Mus musculus: one gene and its partners. The protein of the gene in region 5 interacts with the protein of the main gene of each other region in a pairwise test. Links are inferred from orthologs where the notes say so. Each region holds a gene or a part of one and is shown on either strand. Other genes may lie near its edges. The genes, in order: Kansl1, Ssc5d, Ehhadh, Nek6 and Necab2.

Evidence for each region.
Region 1: the proteins of Necab2 (region 5) and Kansl1 interact in binary tests that used the Homo sapiens proteins (3 or more experiments, as listed by UniProt). The two-hybrid records come from large-scale screens. The link is inferred for Mus musculus from reciprocal best matches to the Homo sapiens genes NECAB2 and KANSL1.
Region 2: the proteins of Necab2 (region 5) and Ssc5d interact in binary tests that used the Homo sapiens proteins (3 or more experiments, as listed by UniProt). The two-hybrid records come from large-scale screens. The link is inferred for Mus musculus from reciprocal best matches to the Homo sapiens genes NECAB2 and SSC5D.
Region 3: the proteins of Necab2 (region 5) and Ehhadh interact in binary tests that used the Homo sapiens proteins (3 or more experiments, as listed by UniProt). The two-hybrid records come from large-scale screens. The link is inferred for Mus musculus from reciprocal best matches to the Homo sapiens genes NECAB2 and EHHADH.
Region 4: the proteins of Necab2 (region 5) and Nek6 interact in binary tests that used the Homo sapiens proteins (3 or more experiments, as listed by UniProt). The link is inferred for Mus musculus from reciprocal best matches to the Homo sapiens genes NECAB2 and NEK6.

The regions. Positions count from the first base shown.
Region 1 is NC_000077.6:104,439,517-104,443,680, forward strand, and holds the start of Kansl1 (KAT8 regulatory NSL complex subunit 1), read right to left. Parts: upstream 2,805-4,164; 5' UTR 2,209-2,804; intron 1-2,208. UniProt on the Homo sapiens protein: Non-catalytic component of the NSL histone acetyltransferase complex, a multiprotein complex that mediates histone H4 acetylation at 'Lys-5'- and 'Lys-8' (H4K5ac and H4K8ac) at transcription start sites and promotes transcription initiation.
Region 2 is NC_000073.6:4,935,810-4,939,325, reverse strand, and holds part of Ssc5d (soluble scavenger receptor cysteine-rich domain-containing protein SSC5D precursor), read right to left. Parts: intron 3,064-3,516; coding exon 2,500-3,063; intron 2,419-2,499; coding exon 2,104-2,418; intron 1,862-2,103; coding exon 1,694-1,861; intron 1-1,693.
Region 3 is NC_000082.6:21,763,827-21,767,342, forward strand, and holds part of Ehhadh (peroxisomal bifunctional enzyme), read right to left. Parts: intron 2,742-3,516; coding exon 2,400-2,741; intron 1-2,399. UniProt on the Homo sapiens protein: Peroxisomal trifunctional enzyme possessing 2-enoyl-CoA hydratase, 3-hydroxyacyl-CoA dehydrogenase, and delta 3, delta 2-enoyl-CoA isomerase activities. Catalyzes two of the four reactions of the long chain fatty acids peroxisomal beta-oxidation pathway.
Region 4 is NC_000068.7:38,567,186-38,570,701, forward strand, and holds part of Nek6 (serine/threonine-protein kinase Nek6), read left to right. Parts: intron 1-1,661; coding exon 1,662-1,770; intron 1,771-2,442; coding exon 2,443-2,550; intron 2,551-3,516. UniProt on the Homo sapiens protein: Protein kinase which plays an important role in mitotic cell cycle progression. Required for chromosome segregation at metaphase-anaphase transition, robust mitotic spindle formation and cytokinesis.
Region 5 is NC_000074.6:119,453,208-119,456,723, reverse strand, and holds part of Necab2 (N-terminal EF-hand calcium-binding protein 2), read right to left. Parts: intron 2,524-3,516; coding exon 2,498-2,523; intron 2,366-2,497; coding exon 2,268-2,365; intron 1-2,267. UniProt on the Homo sapiens protein: May act as a signaling scaffold protein that senses intracellular calcium.

The DNA of each region.
Region 1 (4,164 bases), on a different chromosome or scaffold from region 5:
AACCAAACCTCCAATTTATCTCAAAATCTGCATAGAACTGATGACTTTTGTGTACAGAAACAAATCATCACATACACTTAATTAAATAACTACCTTCATCAGAATAAAGATTTTAAGAATCTATGTGATTGTTAATGGTTCCAAGTAGATCACACTTCAAAAATAATGTCAAACCACCTCAAGTTCTGAGGTCACTAACAAATCAAATCAAATATTCTAAAGGTCAAAAGAACTGTACACTTGGTTGGCTAAACCTAGTGGAAATCTAATTCAGGATTCCATGACTAAGGGTCGTTACCAAATAGTTACAATACATTGTTTAAATTTCCAAAGGATGAGCATTTTTACCTCGCAATATTTTTAGAGCAACACATCACACTGCACCTATCACATGACATGATGTAACTGTTAGCAAAGAAAATGGCCCAAGCCATTGATAACATACATCAGGAGAAAACAGATCAATCATACTCAAGAATTACATTTTATATTTACTTTTTGAAGCTAGTAACTTACCTAGAAAAAGAAAAAAATGTACTTTAGCATTTTATAGTTAATATTTACAAGAAGTTATAACAACCAAGTAAGAAGATTGGAAAACTAGAATTAAAAACTTCTCTATCAAAAATGCAACAAAGAAACACATCAAAAGTATCCACTGTCAGAAGAAAAAAAAAAAAAAGTCTCAACTGACAACAGCTGCAGTTAATTGAAAATTTCTAAATTGGTAGGAGAATAAGACAAGAAACCAAGTACAGCCCATAGAAGAGAGGAAAGGGAAACACGCCCACTTTATGCTTTTGTAAATACTGGTACTTCAAATGACCTTAAAAACAAAAACAAAAAAGGGAGGTGGGGTGGGAAATATAAACTGCAGACCAGTCTAAGAAACAGAAATCATTTTAATATAACGATTTTCCTACTTGATTGAAAGTACTTTTGAGAAGAAGTTCTGTAACTATATCATGATTATGCAAGGCAAGGATTATGTAATTTTATCGTTTATTTTAAAATGTTCTCCGAATGTATTAAAAAAAAAAAACCCTAGAGCATTGTGATCTCTCTAATGGGCAGAGGGACACTTACTTGGCTACAGCTTAAAATATTAACATACACCCCCCCAAACAAACAAACAAAACCCCACAATGATTGCTAGCCACGTGACGAAGGATATGGCAACACCAGGATTGTGAATGGAGGGGAGGAAAGCTAGGTTGGAGGACTAGCGAGATTTCTCTTAACTTTGGGGACTGCAGGATTCGGGTTTCTCAATCTTTAAGGTACCAAATTCTAACCCCTAAGAGTTGTACAGCTAACACCCTCAAGTGCGGTTTTATTAATAGGTCACGGAAAATGCTCCAGTGACCTCCAGGATAAAGGAGGAAAAAACAGGCGGAGGAAAGAGCAATTTAAAGTGGCGCCATCATGTCACCCCTTTTCCCCTAAGGCAATCAATAAGCAATAGTTAAGTAACGAGTTTCTCTAAAAATCCACATTGGGATTCCAACATTGGAAAACAAAAGGATTTCTAGGTAAAACATGGGAGTAAGATTGTTTACAATACGGAAAACAATTATAAACTATTTGCTGAGAATCAAAGGCCGTCAGTCCGAAAACAGGCCCCCCCAAAAGCAGTAAGATTCCAACTCACTTAAAAGCAAATAAATGCCTCTTCCTCTTTAGTTGAAAAAAAGGGCTGCCTGAGACTAGATCCGAAAACGCAAATGACCTCAATATTTAAGCAACAAAAAATGTTAACAATCAGAGTTGTGATACAAACCGTGAGACAGACATGCAAGATGTGTTTGAGCAAAGAAAGACCTTTTGCAGTCAAGAGAAGTTCAAGGCGAGAGCAAGAGTTTGTTTTTGGTCTTTTTGTTTTTGCTTTTTTTTTTTTTTTTTTTCGGAAATAAACCAGGTTCTCCAGGCCGCCTTTTTAAATAGAACGCCAAAGGAAAGCCCAGCGAACGAGGCGGCAGCTGGTGGGGAAGGGCCCCCGCACACCCCCGCCCTTGGGGCGACTCCCAGCCCGGACCCGCAGCGGGGAAGCCCGGAGAGGCCATTTAAAGTTCCGGGGATTTTTCTTCCCCTGCCCAGCCTTTCTAGTTACAACTAACAAAGAGAGGGAGAAATGGGAACCACAGGGAGAGCGAGGAGAAGGAGAAAGGGCAGCGGGAGGAGGAGGAAAGGAGCAGCAGCAGCACCTACCACGTGATGGAGGAGCGTAGCCCGGGCGGATTCGGCCCCACAAAATGGGCGCAGTTTGCAAACAGCCCCCCGGCCTGGGCGCCGAGGACCAGCGGGCGGGGGCGCGCGGCTGCTGCTCCGGCCCGGCCCGCCGCTCTCCTCCCCCCCGGCGCCCGGAGCCGCCCTGACTTTCCGGGCGGGGGGGCGAGGCGGAGGGGGAGGGGAAGGCGGCGGCGGCGGGGAGCGGCTGCTTTTTCTTCTCTTTCGGGCCCTTTCTCCGGCCTTCCTCCGTTCCGACCCGGCCTGGGCACGGCGGGGACCGCAGCCCCGGGCGGGCGGGGGCAGAGGGTAAAGCTGCCCCCCCCGCCCCGCACAAACAAGCGCCGCCGTCTGCAGCCCGCGCCCGCACCCCGGCCGCCACCCCGGGAGCTTCTTCCCGGCCGGGGAGCGCACTTCGGCCGCCCCCCAAGCCGCCGCGGCGAGACGAGTCGGCTTCGCTACGGCGCTTGGTTCTCCCGCCGGCTCAGCGAGCGGTGGCGGTGGCGGCGGCGGCACTGGGAAAATGGCGGCCGAGCTCCTTTTCCCTCCCCCCCTTTAATCTGAAGCGGAGGGAGAATGGAGCGAGCAAGCGAGCGGGCGAGTGCCGGGGACACGGGGAGGAGGGACAGCAGCGCCTCCGCCGGCTGCGGCTGCGGCGGGCCGCTCCGCCCCGGCGCGCCGCCAGGGGGCGCCCGCCTCGCCGCCCCCGCGGGCTGCCAGGAGGCGCGGCCGCCGCCGCCTCAGTCATGGCTCCTAGCCGCGGCCGCTGCTTCTGCGCCTCTGTTTGCGGAAACCGGTGCCTGGTGCCTGATACGTGCGGCAGCGACACGCGGCACTGCGGCAAGCGACGCGGGGCCCTCGCTTCGATCGAGGTGAGGCTAACCTGAGGCGCTGATGCCGTCACATTCCCTCGGCTCTGTGGCTGGCGGTGCTGCGCGCCGGTTTGAGGGGAGGGCGGACTGACACAGCAGAGCTAGAGGACGTGAGCGAAGAACTGTGTGTGCAGTGAATGAAGAAGCTGCTGCGGCCACACTACCCCAGGGCCAACCGTGCTCTGAGACGGGCAGGAAGCTCCCTGACCAGTGACGCGGTCCCTGCCACCCGCCCTTTGTCCTACACCCTGCTCTGTACACTGCAGCACACGGCTGGCTGCTAGCCCTAGCGCCACGCTCTGCAGCCGCCAAACCAAAAAATAAGCGGACGCCATTGCGCAGGCGCGAGCTAGGACCGACTCGGGGCTAGCCCGGGCAGGGGCAGCTGGGAGCTAGAGGGGAAATGATGGCCCACCAGCGCCGGGCCCGCTGGGAACTGTAGTTTTCGTTAAGCCCGCGTGTTGTTTTAGGCTTCTTGATTTGTCAGATCCGCCAAAATAGGCAAAAACGCATTCATTACACAGTAATTTTTTTGTTTCCTGCTACTACCAAATTAAAGTTCACAGACCCGCTAAAAGTTTAACAATGAACAACAAAAGCAAACCTGTCATGTTCTTACCAGCGTTGACTTAAAAGTAGTGGCACCTAATTACTCTTGACTCTAGTTTGTCAGCACGATATCGGTTCCTTCCTCCCAAATAAGGTTTAATATCAGAGAACATTTTCTGGACTTAGAAAACTTAATATAACGCAAAGTGACACATTACACAGTACAAATCCACCACCCTTTAAAGCTAACCATGTCCAAAGATTATTAGGACTCACCAAAATCAAATAGCATAAAACTTGTTCCAACAACTAAATCACCAAGCTCAGCAGATGAGAAGAGTAGAGTCTACCAAAAGGAAGATGTAAAATGCTCAATACTTTGTGTGGTTTACCAAACCAGTATCCGGTGTTATGTGTCACTTCAGCTCCTCAAAAAAAAAAAACTATTGTTATAGACCAGTTTTCATTAGCCCACAAAGTCTCTAACTCAACAAGTTTCTGCAGTATCTGCATCTAT
Region 2 (3,516 bases), on a different chromosome or scaffold from region 5:
GGGCAGATGAGATGGATCGGCACCTAGCTGAAAATTCTAGTTGTATACCTGGAACCAACATGGTAAAAGGAGAAGACTGACTCCTGCAGGTTGTACATAGACACACACACAAGCACGAATCCACGCATGCAAGTGTGCACACACACATATGAGCTCGTATACTCATGCATATACACACTTACATATGAGTGCGTGTGCGAGCACATACTGTGGCATATGGCCCTGAGCACAGGTGTGCATGCACACACATATACAATCAATCAATCTAACAAAGAAAAAGGAAGGAAAGGGGGAACGCTACAGAAGGGAGGAGATAAAAGCAGAGGGTCTGAAAAAGACAGTGGAGGGGGAACCCAGGAAGGAAAGAAGAGAGGAAGTCACGTGAAATACAGTGAGTGACGGGCAAGGTGGTACATGCCCAGTGACCCGAGGGCTGGGGAGGTGGAGGCAGGGGGAGAACAGGAGTTCTAGGCCAGCTGGGACAACGAAAGAAAAAAGAAAAAGCAAACTACTGAGAAATGGGGTGAGATGGTGACTTGAAAGGAAGATACAGGGGCTGGACAGAGAGTTCAGGCTGTTCTCCCAGAGAAGCCAGGTTCAATTCCCTGCACCCATGTGGCTGCTCACGCCTGTCTATAACTCCAGTTTCAGGAGCACTAGTGCCCTCTTCTGGCCAGGACTCTGGTGCCCTCTTCTGGCCTGTGTGGGAACTGTATGCACATGGCATAGATATGCCTACAACCATACCCATAAAATAATAACTTTAAACAATGTAAAAGGTGTGGAAGGAGTATAGAACTTTAAAGAAAAACTGATGAAAAAAACCAAGAGATACTGCACTGGGAAAAACAGAGTACTAAAGAGGAAAAGAGAGTGGGAACGAATCCAATGGGAGAAAGACACCAGGAGAAAAGCAAAATGGAGTTCTAAGATGTAGGGGCCAGGGTGGATGGAGATCCCTGGGTTAGCATCAGGGGTGGAAGGACACAGACCATAGCAAAACAGAAGCCATGGAGAAGCAGAAGGACTGACAGATGTCATGTAAGGCACTGACTTTCATGGGTGGGGCTGGGAAGGGCAGGAGTTAGAACCTGTGCTCCAGGAGGGTCCTGTCTGTGTCTGACCTAGAGCCTGACCAGGACAACACATGGACTGCCAGACTGGGTATGAGTCTGCTGACGGTGGAACCATGTGCTCACAGGACAACCCTGAGCTGAGGGCTCTGGGTCATTCCTGCACATGCTCTGGATTGAGGGGCATGGTCGATTTGGTAGGCTCAGTACTAGCTGATGCCCTCTGATCGCTCTGAGCCACATGCTGTCCCATTGCACTCTGGAGAAGGTGAATACTGTCAAGCCCAAGAGTGGAACACATTTAGGCAAGCCTGCCAGGACATGGAGGCCTAGGCTAGCTGTTAGAGAGATCTTTATGGCTGACCACAGTAGCACATATGTTTGCACTGCCAATACTTGGGAGGGGGAGACAGGAAGTTCAAGGCAAACCTCAGCCACATAGCAAGTTCAAGGCCAGTCTGGGATACAAGATATAGCACCTCAAAAACAAAACAAACAAAACAAAAGTGGGCGGATGCCATCGCCCGGTAGGTAAAGGAGCTTGTGGATAGAGCTCCACCATTTTGACTCTGACCTCATCACACATGCCTTGGCATATGCACCCAGGTTGAGCCCCTCACCCGTGTCTGGAAGGTTCTGTGTTGCTGGAGAGGGGACTTCAGTGTTTGTAGTGGTAGCCCAGGAAAGTGTATGTCCAGGCCGCGCAGCCACTGTGGTCCCTTTGGTCAGGTCCTCTCCGGAAGTAGGGTCCCAGGTCCAGGAAGGATAATCGTCATCACCCGTGTAGCCTGGGGGAGAGACAGGTAGCTTGTGCCTCTTCCTGCTAGCTGAGGTCCCCCCCCCCCGCCCCCGGGCTTCCCTTCCCTGCCAGAGTCTCCTGAAGTAACCCTTTCCTGCTCTCATGCTGAGCCCCCTCCAGCCCGCTCCTTAGACCTTTAGACACCAACGCTGAGTCCCCTCTAGCCCACGAGACACCATTCTGTCCCACTCTAACTCCACCACCTCGGCCTCCCTCACTGTTCCCTGGTACCAGTGCAGGTGAGCACCACGTCTTCTTCGTGGTCACAGTTGTGCTTCCCCCATGCCCCCGAGGGGCAGTCACTCAGTGACATCTCACTTCCTTTACAGCCCATGTCATCCAACCAGATGGGCCCAGTGCCAGGGCCATAGTGAGTTTTGCCTACTCGGGGCCGGACCTTTCCGCAACCCAGCTCCCAGCAGGCCACTGTGGCATCCCGGATGTCCCAGCTGTCATCACAGACTGTTCCCCAGAGTCCAGCATGCCACACCTCTAGCCGGCCAGCACACCTGTTGGGCCCATCAGCCAGACGAACCCGGAAGGGACCTGGGGGAGGTGGGAGGCTCTCAGGTTAGGAGGTACAGGGCCACCTCCCTGTCCCCACCCTTTTAACTCTCTACTACTCACCTGATGGCACAGGGACTCCAGCAGTTGGGGTGGTAGCTGGATCTTGGGATGATTCCAGAGAGCCTTCGGTGTTCTCACCCGATGGCTCCAAAGAGGTCTGAGGGTTTTCCGTTGTGGTGGCCTCAGAGGTCACTTCTTGGGGACCTTGAGTGGACTGTGACACCACAGGCTCTGAGGTCCACTCCCAGGGGACCCTAGGGGTCAGCCTTACAGTGGTATGTGAGGTCTGCCTGTGGGGAGCCTCAGTGGTCAGTCTCTTTGGTAACTCAGAGGTACGTGCTGTTGGATGTAGGGAGGTTGGGGTGCCTGGGGCCCTGGAATGTTTGGTGGTTGGCATCCCAGGGGGCTGAGTGGTTGGTCTCCTTGCATTTTTAGTCACCCACTTCTTGGTACTCTTGGGAGCTTTCCCTGGAACCTTTGTGGGTTTCTGTGGCACACTGGAGGTGAGACTGGCAGAAGGTTTGGTGGTTAGCTCTCCTGGGAGCCAGGCATCCTGATCTCTACCCAGCCCAGGGAGCCAGCTCCAACTGAAAGGGTCTGAGATGGTATCCAGGCCGGGGGTCCCTAGGAGACCGGGAGGGAGGAGAGATAAGATCATGGGGAAGGTCTCGTCCTGTCCTGCTAACCCATACCCTCCGCCCTCGTTTCACTTAAGAAAATAGAAGTCTGTTGGACTGAAGAGATGGGTCTGTGGCTAAGAGTACTTGCTGCTCTTCCATAGGACCTGGGTTTGATTCTTAGCACAAACATAGTGGCTCACAACTGTCTGTAACTCTAATCTCAGAGAGTCTGGTGGCCTCTCCTGGCCTCCAAGGACTCCAGACAAGCACATGGCGCACAGATCCACTTGCAGGCAAAATACCTGCACACTTAAAAACTAAATAGGGCTGGTGAGATGGCTCAGTGGGTAAGAGCACCCGACTGCTCTTCCGAAGGTCTGAAGTTCAAATCCCAGCAACCACATGGTGGCTCACAACCATCTGTAACAAGATCTGACGCCCTCTTCTGGAGTGTCTG
Region 3 (3,516 bases), on a different chromosome or scaffold from region 5:
GATTGAGCTCAGGGAATCCCATGGAAGTCTAGGAGGAAAGATTGTAGGAGCCAGAGGGGTCAAGGACACTACCAGAAAACTCACATAATCAGCTAACCAGGGTTCACAGATATTGAGCTGACAATCAGGAAGCCTGCAAGGGAATGATCTGCATATATGTGACTGTTGTATACCTTGGTCTTCTTGTGGGATTCCTAATAGTGGGAGCAGGGCTGTCTCTGACTCTTTTGCCTGATTTTGGGACCCTTTTCCTTCCTCTGGTTTGCCTCAAATCTTAATACAGGGAAGGTGCCTAGTCTTTACTGCAACTTGATATGCCGTGTTTGGCAACTTGATATCTCTGGGAGGCCTGCCCTTTCCCAAGGGAAACAGAGAAGGAGTGGATGAGGGAGGGTCTGTGGGGGAGGGAATTGGAGGAGAGGAGAGAGAGGAAACTGTGGTTTGGATGTAAATAATAATAATAATAAAAATATTTATTTCTCTGTGTGCATTATATCACAGACATCAGTATAAGGAGTTGGGTGTCCTTGTCTATCCTTTCTCCCTATTTCTTTTGAAGCAGAGACTTCTCTCTTAAGAGGCCGAGAGCTTGTGTCTTTTCACCTAGTCTGGAAGCCAGCAAGCACAGTGATACCCTTGTCTATATCCACCCCGCTCCTGGAAACAGGTGTTACAGGTGTTTGTGGGGAGGGGCTGCTCAAGTTGTCACATGGATGCTAGGATCAAAACTTTGATATTCATTATTTCAAATCAGTTACTCTTTTTCTTTCTTTCCTTCTTTCTTTTCTTTTTGGTTGTTTTGTTTTGTTTTGTTTTGTTTTTTCAAGACAGGGTTTCTCTGTGTAGCCCTGGCTGTCCTGGAGCTCACTCTGTAGACCAGGCTGGCCTCAAATTCAGAGATCCATCTGCCTCTGCCACCCAAGTACTAGGCATGTACCACCACTGCCTGGCTAAAGCAGTTACTCTTAACTGCTGAGCCATCTCTCCAGCCCCCAATATATCTTCACATATTAGCAATGAACTGTATGAAAATAAGAAAGCAATTTTACCTACAATAACATAAAAAATAACTATACTTATGGAATACATTTAACAAAGGAGGACTTGTGTACTAAAACCAATGAAACATCATTGGAAAAAAATTAAAGAATATCCAAGGTATTTATTGTTCAGTGTTAAAGTGCTTGCGTGCACAAGGCTGATACCTGACATTGAAAACAAGAAAAGAAAAGAAGAAAGAAAGAAAGAAAGAAAGAAAGAAAGAAAGAGGGAAAGAAATAAAAAGAATCAAAATCACCTAGATATTGGCAGAAAGACAGCCAATGTTCATGGACCAGAAAAAAATTTAGTATTGTTAGGATGAAATATCAAAATAATCTGTAGAGCCAATGCAAGCACTATACCAGCCCAACTTTTTGCATAATTAACACTAGATTCTACAATTCATATAGAAACACAAGAAACCTAGAAGAGTCAAAACAGTATTTTTAAAAATTGGAGATGGGGTTGGAGAGATGGCTCAGCAATTAAGAGCACTGGCTGCTCTTACAGAGGTCCTGAGTTCAATTCCCAGCCACCACATGGTGACTCACAGTTATCTCAGTAATGGGATCTGATGCCCTCTTCTGGTGTGTCTGAAGACAGCAACAATGTACTCACATATATAAAATAAACAAATCTTTCAAAAAAAGTTGGGAAAGTCACTCTTCCCAGTTTCAATAATTAAGACAAAAATATAGTATTCAAGGCAGTGAACAGAGAGTACATGCTGAGAGCCGGAAACAAACTCCACTCGTATGGCCTATGTATGGACAGGACTGCCACAGTTGGAAGGTCCCTAGAGCTGACCCGCAGGATGGAAAGAGTTTATAGGCTCCTACAAGAATTAACAAGCGTTAACATGAGTGCCATGTTCAACAAAATAATAGCTTCCCCAAGCAAGTGACATTTGAAGTGTGCTGTGCTTTTCATACAACAGTGCCATTGCACATATGAACCGACAACAGCTCTGGCTGCACACACAAGACCTGCACAACATCTAGCCAGACACAATCTCAGCATAAAGGGGAGGAGGGCAGGACATCCACCTGCAAGCTTTGGGCTATTGGTCAGTGAATGACTGTTGGCATGAGAAGTCAGCTTTCCCTCCTCCCTGGAGGCTTCCCACGTGCCTGTAGATGGCCTTACACCATGCACATGCTAGCAGCACTAAGTGACTTCCATGATTTTGAAAAAGAGAGAGAACACATGAAATAGGAAAAAAAAAAAAATAATGGCGGGGAGGCTAAGGGAGGAACTGAGGGAAAGGGAAAGCGGGGAGCTTGATCCAGACACAATGGACACATGTATGAACTTTTCAATTGATTAAAAGAAACCTGCAGGTTTGGAAATATGCTTACCAAGAACACCAACCGAGGAGACGGGTTGAGCAGATGCTGTTTTCCAAGATGCTCCTGAGGGAGTTGACCACTTATTTGCAGACTTTTCAGCAAAAAAGGCGTACTGCAGGGCTCTAGCCTGCCCCGACCCCCGAAGGTACATAAACAGCTTTGCTTCTTCCTTGATGGCCACTTCATATGGATGCTTCACGGAGGCCTGGACTGAACGGACACAAGTCTCCGGAGCCAGGCGGCCAGGGTACTGCTTCCGTACCTTGGCAATGGCTTCTGCAAAAACACTGTCCATGTTGGGCAAGCTTGGGACTGGCTTGTTTAGGATCCTGCGGGGTTCTATGGGTTTACCTGAAAGGAATTGCTAAAGGTCAGAGTATCGTAAGCATAATAGAAAGAGAACAGAACTGCCCAAAAACAAAACGACAGTGCGGTGCGTGGTTCCCACAACCCAGTCAGACGCTACGCACTACAATATCTAATGAAACACGATATCCAAAGTCTGTAATCTTAGTAACTTCAGACCGTAAAGTAGAAGATCGAAAGTATTATGCTACTAATTCAGACATGAAAGGTGCAGTCTCTTTTTATTCTGAGGCCAAGACAACTTTATAATATATTAAATATTAATCTGTACAAAGAGTACAGTTCTTACTTAATATCATCTATTCAAAATTATTCACATTCTTTCCCTAATAATGACAAAATCTTTAAAATACCATAACAGAGGGAAATGTTATATGGGGCAATGATTGGCAATAAAAAAGAATTGTAAGTTCATTGATAAGGACTTACAGTATAGTAAATTGATTTTTAATACAGGAGAAAAGATAGTCCACATGGCAAAAAGAGTCTTTTTTTTTTCCCCCTTCCCTCCAAAAGGTGGTGGGATAGCTGACTACAAAGGTGGGATAACTGACACACAGGTAGGAGAACCAGACACACAGGTGGGAGAACTGAATACACAGGTGGGAGAACTGATACACAGGTGGGAGAACTGGATACACAGGTGGGAGAACTGATACACAGGTGGGAGAACTGATACACAGGTGGGAGAACTGGATACACAGGTGGGAGAACTGATACACAGGTGGGAGAACTGATACACAGGTACTAAATAAGTAAA
Region 4 (3,516 bases), on a different chromosome or scaffold from region 5:
GCTGCACACGTCCCCACGTAAACACTATAATGAGGACCAAATAACATTATGGTGTAAATAACAGGCCGCCCAGCCTGGCACAGAGGCCTGGGGGTGGCCCAAAGCAGAGGTCTTTGGGGAGACCAGAAGAGCCAGCTCGCCAGCTCCTCCTAGAAGGGCCTCAGGAGAGCCTCAAGGGGTTTTACTTCCAGGCCAGTAGCTAGCAGCTATCCCGGCCCTGTGTCTGGAGGTCCCCAGCTCTAGATCCCAGCCTCCGTGCGTGCTCCTGATGCATAGCCGTGGGCCTGTGCATGAGCCTCTCTGGGCATGGTCCCCGTCACAGATTCTCAGCGTCATTCGATGTGATGAACTCAGAAGGCCTAACTAAGCTCCATTTTGTAGCCCTCAGGGCCTTTGTGCTGCTTGCTGAGAGTCCAGCAGCATGATTGAGCGTGGCCTGTACGCAGCAGGGCTTTCCTGCACCTCTGTTTCCTCCCCAGGCTAGGCAGGTGCCCTGGTAGTTAGTTCCTGGCTTCCTACACTGGAATAGCTGCTTGGCACTGGCCACAGTGCTGCCTCTTGCCACTAGAACCACAGCTTGGTGATGAGGTAGCCGAGGTGCTAGCCATTGCCCTACACCTCAGTACAGGCCTGCTGCGCACACCCCTATACACACACACACACACACACACACACACACACACACTGTCTCAGGATTTGTTCCTGCATTATCCTTCCAGAACCTTCTGTTCAATTCTCTTTCAGTGCAGCCTGGAGAGTTGTTTCTTGACTTTTTTCTTTCTTTCTTTTTTTTCCCCCCTGGGGGTTCCAATGTGGTTTACTAGGTGTCCTGGCTAATTTTAAGTCAACTTGACATAGGCTAAAGAAATCTGAGAGGAGGGAATCTCCACTGAGAAAATGCAGCCATTAAATTCTGCCGTGGGTGGGCAAGACTGTAAGGCATTTTCTTAATTAGTGACTGATGGGGGAGGGCCTAGCCCATGATGGGTGGTTCTGTCCCTGGGCTGGTGGTCCTGGGGTCTATAAGAAAGCAGGATGAGCAAGCCAGTAAGCGCCACCCCTCCATGGCTTCTGCATCGGCTCGTGCACACCAGTTCCTGCCCTGACCGCCTTCCATGACAGACTATGATATGGAAGTAGTGGATAAAATAAACACTTTCCTCCTAAACTTGCTGTGGTGTTTCATCACAGCAATGGAAGCCCTGACTAAGACAGTAGGCAAGGAGGTAAATAAATTAGTGCCTGCTGAAACCAAGGGTCTGTTTGACGAAGTTAAGTCCTTCTCCTCAAGGGTTACTGTGCCTTTAGCAGTCACATGACACTGAGATTTAACGACTGAGGACATGGGGACAACAATGACTATCTATCTCTCAGGCCTGGTTCTCCTCCCACGCCAGGCTCGGACTGATGCTGAGAGTCCTTAGTCTCCCCAGGCCCCTGTGAGCAGGTCACTGAGAGGCTCTTCCTTGGGCTTCCCTCTGGCCAGGCTCTGACCTCATGGTCCATTTCATCTGGGGCCCCCTGAGCTCTGCTGGGCTGAAGAGAGGTGCTGACACAACATCCCGGCCCCTCACTGTTTGCTTGGCCTTTGCTGGTGTGATCACCGTGTCACCCTTGCTGGAAATATGCTCACCCAGGCCTGTCTGTCTGTCACCCCACAGTATTTCAAGAAGCAGAAGCGGCTTATCCCTGAGAGGACCGTGTGGAAGTACTTCGTGCAGCTGTGCAGCGCTGTGGAGCACATGCACTCCCGACGTGTGATGCACCGAGGTGTGTGCCCCTCCTTGGCCCGGGACTCCAGCTCTGAGCCTTCGAGCGCCCCAGGAGCTGCCCTGAGAATGAGGCCATTTAGGCCATGCAGGGTATCCAGTAGCTGCACTCACATCTGTCCCATTCGAGGACCCACCTGGGAGGGCGGGGGAGTCTTATCTGATGCCCGATAGTCATCACTTAAGCTTCAGGGAATGGGACCATCACAGCATGCTGACTCCACTCATCCCAGATGTGGCCAAACCTGGTGCTGAGGCCAGTTTTGCCCAGAGAAAGTTTCCCATGGGCTTTGATATCTTGGTAGGCATTGGCTAAGCAAGCTATACCCCCACCCTACCCCAGAAAGTGCTTTGAGGAGGTATTTCAGGTTGTGAGGAAGCCTGTCGAAGGTGTCTTTGAGTTGCTTTCACCTGTGTGAGACCCTGCCCTAGTCACTGCAGTGCAAAGCTTACTGACTGTCAGACAGTGTCTCCCGTGCGGTGACGCTCGTCTGGCACAGGGGAGGCAGCTGTACAAAAGGAGACAGTAGTATAGAAGTCTCTGCTCCCCACTCACAGCCAACCTGTGACATGGGGGAGGGGGATAGTCATGTTACAGATGAAGTAAATGAGCCTCCTCCCATCCCTTCTAAGCCTGCTCTCCCCACACCAACCCTGTGTCCTTGCCCTGCAGACATCAAGCCCGCCAACGTGTTCATCACAGCTACGGGCATTGTGAAGCTTGGTGACCTCGGCCTGGGCCGCTTCTTCAGCTCGGAGACCACTGCGGCCCACTCACTAGGTAAGAGGCCTATGTCCCACCTACCCGCAGCCCCTGTAGGCCTGGGTGACCCAGCCGGAAGGGCATCCATTCTCCTGGAACTATTTGTAGTGTGTGGGAAGATCTTTTTTGAGTCTTAAGAGTTCACCCTTGCTTTGGGATAGATCCAAAGTAGAGGAAACTGAGGCCCAGAGGGGCCACTGCAGGGGGGAAGGGGGATCTCCCCATATCCCCAAGTCATCTCTCTAGTACTTCCTGGAAGGCCAACAGACCCTGTCATATAGAATGGACTGCATCTGCCTGGCTTGTGGTCCTTTTGCTGTGCCCAATTGGCCCTGTGACCTACTCCCCAGGTAGATCTGCTTGTAAGACTGAAGAGGCAGTCTTGGGGGCTGGGGCTGGGTGGTTGGATTGTGGAGGAAGAACATCTGGGAAGGCCCCCGAGAAGGAGCCATGTCCAGTTGTGGGAGCTGTGCATGAGCTTGGGGTGATGCCAATAAGCAGGTGTTGGAGAATGGGTACAGGCCTTGATGTCCCTGTTGGGAGTGTGAAGAGGGGCTTCAGGTTAGGTGGGGCTGTGTGGGCTTCGGAGTGTGTGCCGGAGTGTGTGCCGGAGTGTGTGCCGGAGTGATGAAGATGGAGCTGCTGCTCTTTAATTAGTTTAATGGAGCCAGCATAACCACAGAGACAGCAGGGTTTCACCAGGAATCCATGAGAGGCCGGGGTCTCCCAGCTTCTCCCAACATCTCTCAGGGATCACTAGGGGAGACAGAGGAGACCCGGAGCCAGCCTGTGACCTGTGGCCACCTCCCAGGGAAAAAAAAAAAAAAAAACCTCTGGCTCTACTCATTTCCATGCCACCCCACAGCTCCAGTCTGGGTGTCTCCCATCACCACACAACTGGGTGCCTGTAGCCAGCCATGAGCCATCAGCAGCTTCTGGTGGCAGCATGGGTGCTCTGTGGGGAACTCTCCTCTGGAAACTGTC
Region 5 (3,516 bases):
CATCTGAGCAGATTCCTCACCATCACCCAAGACAGAACAAAGAGGAAGAAAACAACATTCCCCCCCCCCCCTTGTACAGGCTGAACTGAAGAGGGTTCTAAAATAAGAGCTGGCATTAATATTGCAATTAGTGGAAAGATGCTGGAGAGATGTACTTGAAAGGCCGGGGCCTGGCGTCATTGTAGTGCGTTAGTTTCTGGGGAATATGCCACATGCACCACAGGCATCGGAGGAGCCAAGGCTAGCCCCCACACAGGAGGCTAACCCAGCTAACCATGACCGAGGCTACTACAACAGAAATCAAGGTAACAGAATTCAGTAACCAGCAGAGACCGGAAGGTGCCTTAGTTAGGGTGTCTCTGGCTATGCAGAAACCCTGTGACCAAAAGCAACTTGGGGAAGAAAGGGTTTCTTTCAGCTTACACTCCCACATTACTGGCCACTGACAGAAGACAGGGCAGAAATCCAAGGCAGGAGCTGACACAGCGGCCATGGAGAAATGCCACTTACTGGCTTGCACCCCAAGCCAGTTTTCTTACAGCATCTAAGGCTACCAGCCCAGGGATCGCACCCCACAAAGTGAGCTGGGCTTTCTCCTATCCACCATCAATCAAGAAAGCACCACAGGCCAATCTGTTGGGGGAAATCTTCTCAACTGAGATCAACTCGGATGACCCTCGCTTATGTCAAGTCGACATAAAAACTTGTCAGCGTACAAAGAAAGCATCAAAGATTAGCATCAGGCTGCCTTTCTACAAACAGGCCAGCTAGGAGAAACCTGAGAAGGAGAAAAATACTCAGTGACAGTTGTCAGGCCCTGCAAGGGTATTCCCGAGTCACCCAGGACCACGGTGACCACCTGAGGTCACCTGAGGCCACCCAAGGCCACATGTGCAAGGTCCTAGTGGCACCACAGCTAAGGCTGCGCAGATCCTCCTGGGAGTTCAGCTCCTCTCCCTCATGGAGGGTGAGGTTCTGATCCTGAGAGCCATGATCAAAGAGTAGGTGGAACACTGTAATGAGGGCCCAGTGCCTCTTTACAAGCCTTACAGCAACAGAGCAACTCCTAGGTGGGAGGGAGAGGCCAAGGAGCTCTTGCTACAAAATCCATCTTCCCCTCCCCTCCATGTCGCAGCCAGCCACAACTGAGCAGGCTGACACCCTTCCCTGGAACACCCTGCTAATGTTTAAGCCACCACGGACACTGGGGCTGTCAGCAAAATTGCCACGATGACAGTCTTCAAGAGGAGCTCTTGTAGGGTCTTAAAATAATTGCAAACAGCAAGCACAATGCCAGAATGTCAGTGTGTGTGTGTGTGTGTGTATGTGTCTATGCATGTGTGTCTGTGTCTGTGTGTATGTGTCTCTGTGTGTGTCTGTGTCTGTATGTGTCTGTGTTTGTGTGTGTATCTGTGTGTCTGTGTGTGTATGTATCTCTGTGTGTGTGTATGTGTCTCTGTGTGTCTGTGTGGGTATCTGTGTGTTTGTGTGTGTATCTGTGTGTGTGTGTCTGTGTGTGAATGTGCCTGTGTGTGTTTGTGTGTCTATGTATCTCTGTGTGTGTGTATGTGTCTGTGTGTGTGTTTTTGTCTGTGTGTGTCTTTGTGTGTGTAGGGGGGGTTCAGACTCAGCAATGTTTGTGTACATGGCAAGAAGGAGCCCTCCGGCCAGCTGTGGCAGGGCATGGCACAGGCCACGTGTGAGAAGCCGAGGGAGCTGGTATTGACCTATGCAGTCCTGCACTCAGCAGCTCAGAGGACCCACTTCCTTCAGTTCCTTCAAGGCCTGGAATATGGATGCTCTGGCTTCACAGACAATGAAAGTAAGACTACAGTCCTTCAACCTGGTCCCTGACCAGACCAGCTAAGTATTCTACTGCATATGGGTCAGCTGCTTAGGAGACATCTTTGCACTCCTGAGTCAAGTTCAGATAGATAAACCTGCAGTCCCTGCTTTCAGATCCCTAGGTCTACACTGTACCTTAAGCAGCCAACCCCTTGGGGACTCCTGCTTCACAAGACTTCCACTCCAGGACCACCCTTGACCCTGGGAAAGGCCCTCACACTCTGATGCACAGCCTACAGGACAGGGCTCGCCACCAAGGTGCTCCTCTAAGTACGTGGCTTATCTCCGCTCTTCAGTGAGTCCTCGGTCAAACATTTGCCGCCACAAATCCAGACACCCTTGGACAGCAATGATCTGAAAGATCTAGAATAAACTAGCACTCAGATCTTAGTTTCCCGAAGGCACTACCCACAACCACTGACCTTCTTAGTGTAGCCCATGGCCTTCAGGACTGAGTGGTTCAAAGTCTCCAGGGAGGCCAGGACATCTTCATAGTCTCCCATGTGCTCCACAAAGTAGTCTGGGGCAGGAGATTGCAAAGGTCAGGGGTCACAGAGGACTCCACCCCTCTCCCTAGGGCCCTCCCACCAGGCCCCAACCTAGGCCCATACTGCTCTGCCCTCCTCTGATTGCCGTTGATTCAGGTACCTACCACACAGTTCCTTGGTGTCCACGTGGCTATAAAGGGAGAGAAGGAGGGAGGGAATAAAGGAGAGAGAGAGAAAGAAAGAGGGAGAGGGAGTTAGCAGTCCTTAAATTGCTTGTTTCTGACCCTCTGTGCAGTCCTTAAAGTGCTTGCTGCCTTCCCCCCATCCTAGACACTGACGTGAGCCCCACTTTCTAGAAGGTAGAAGAAGATGCAGGGTAAGCCACCTGCCTGCCTCCTGTTCTGCTTTTTTTTCCTTATTTGGAGACAAAGTTATATTATGTAATCCAGGCTGACCTAGAACTCTCATGATCCTCCTGCCTCAGTGTCTTGAGTGTTGTGGTCACAGACTTATGCCACCATATCTGGTGGTGTGTTTCTCTCTCTCTCTCTGAGTTCGTGGGCCATATTATGAGTGGATGGAACTAGTCAGGGGCTGAGCCTAGGAGAGGGGAAAGGGCCGCAGGGTGGGCTGTGACTATCGCAGCTTGTCAAAACAATAACCCTTCCCCTCCTGGGACTCTTGGAGCCCTGGGTCAGCCTCCATCATAGCCCTGAACTTCACTCCTTAGACCAAAGCAGAGAAGGGGTTGGTCCTTGCTGGGGGTTGGGGGAGGTGTATAAAGGCATCAACACCAGATGCTGCAGCAGAGGGACCAGGCAGGGTCTGGGTGGGGTCTGATGGCTCCTTTCTGGGCTTAGCCTCTCCTCTGGCCCAGGGCTAGCTTTGGTAGATCCTATGTTCAACAGCATATGTCTGGGTAAAAGTTTTCTGTAGACTCCAAGGCCGGTGGCAGTGACTGCCTTGGAATTCCTCAGACAGCCCGGAATGTTGCTTCTGATGAGTGAGTTGTCTGGGTAAGAAAGGCTTAGCAACTCAAGGGGCTGATGAACATTCGCAGTTTCTACTTCGGGGAATATTGGAGGCAAGAATCCAGAATGTTTTCAGAATTGTGACCTCCCCTAAAGTAAGTCTCCTACTCCGTCCTCCAGGACAGCCTCTGTTTTTTGTTTTTGTTTTTGTT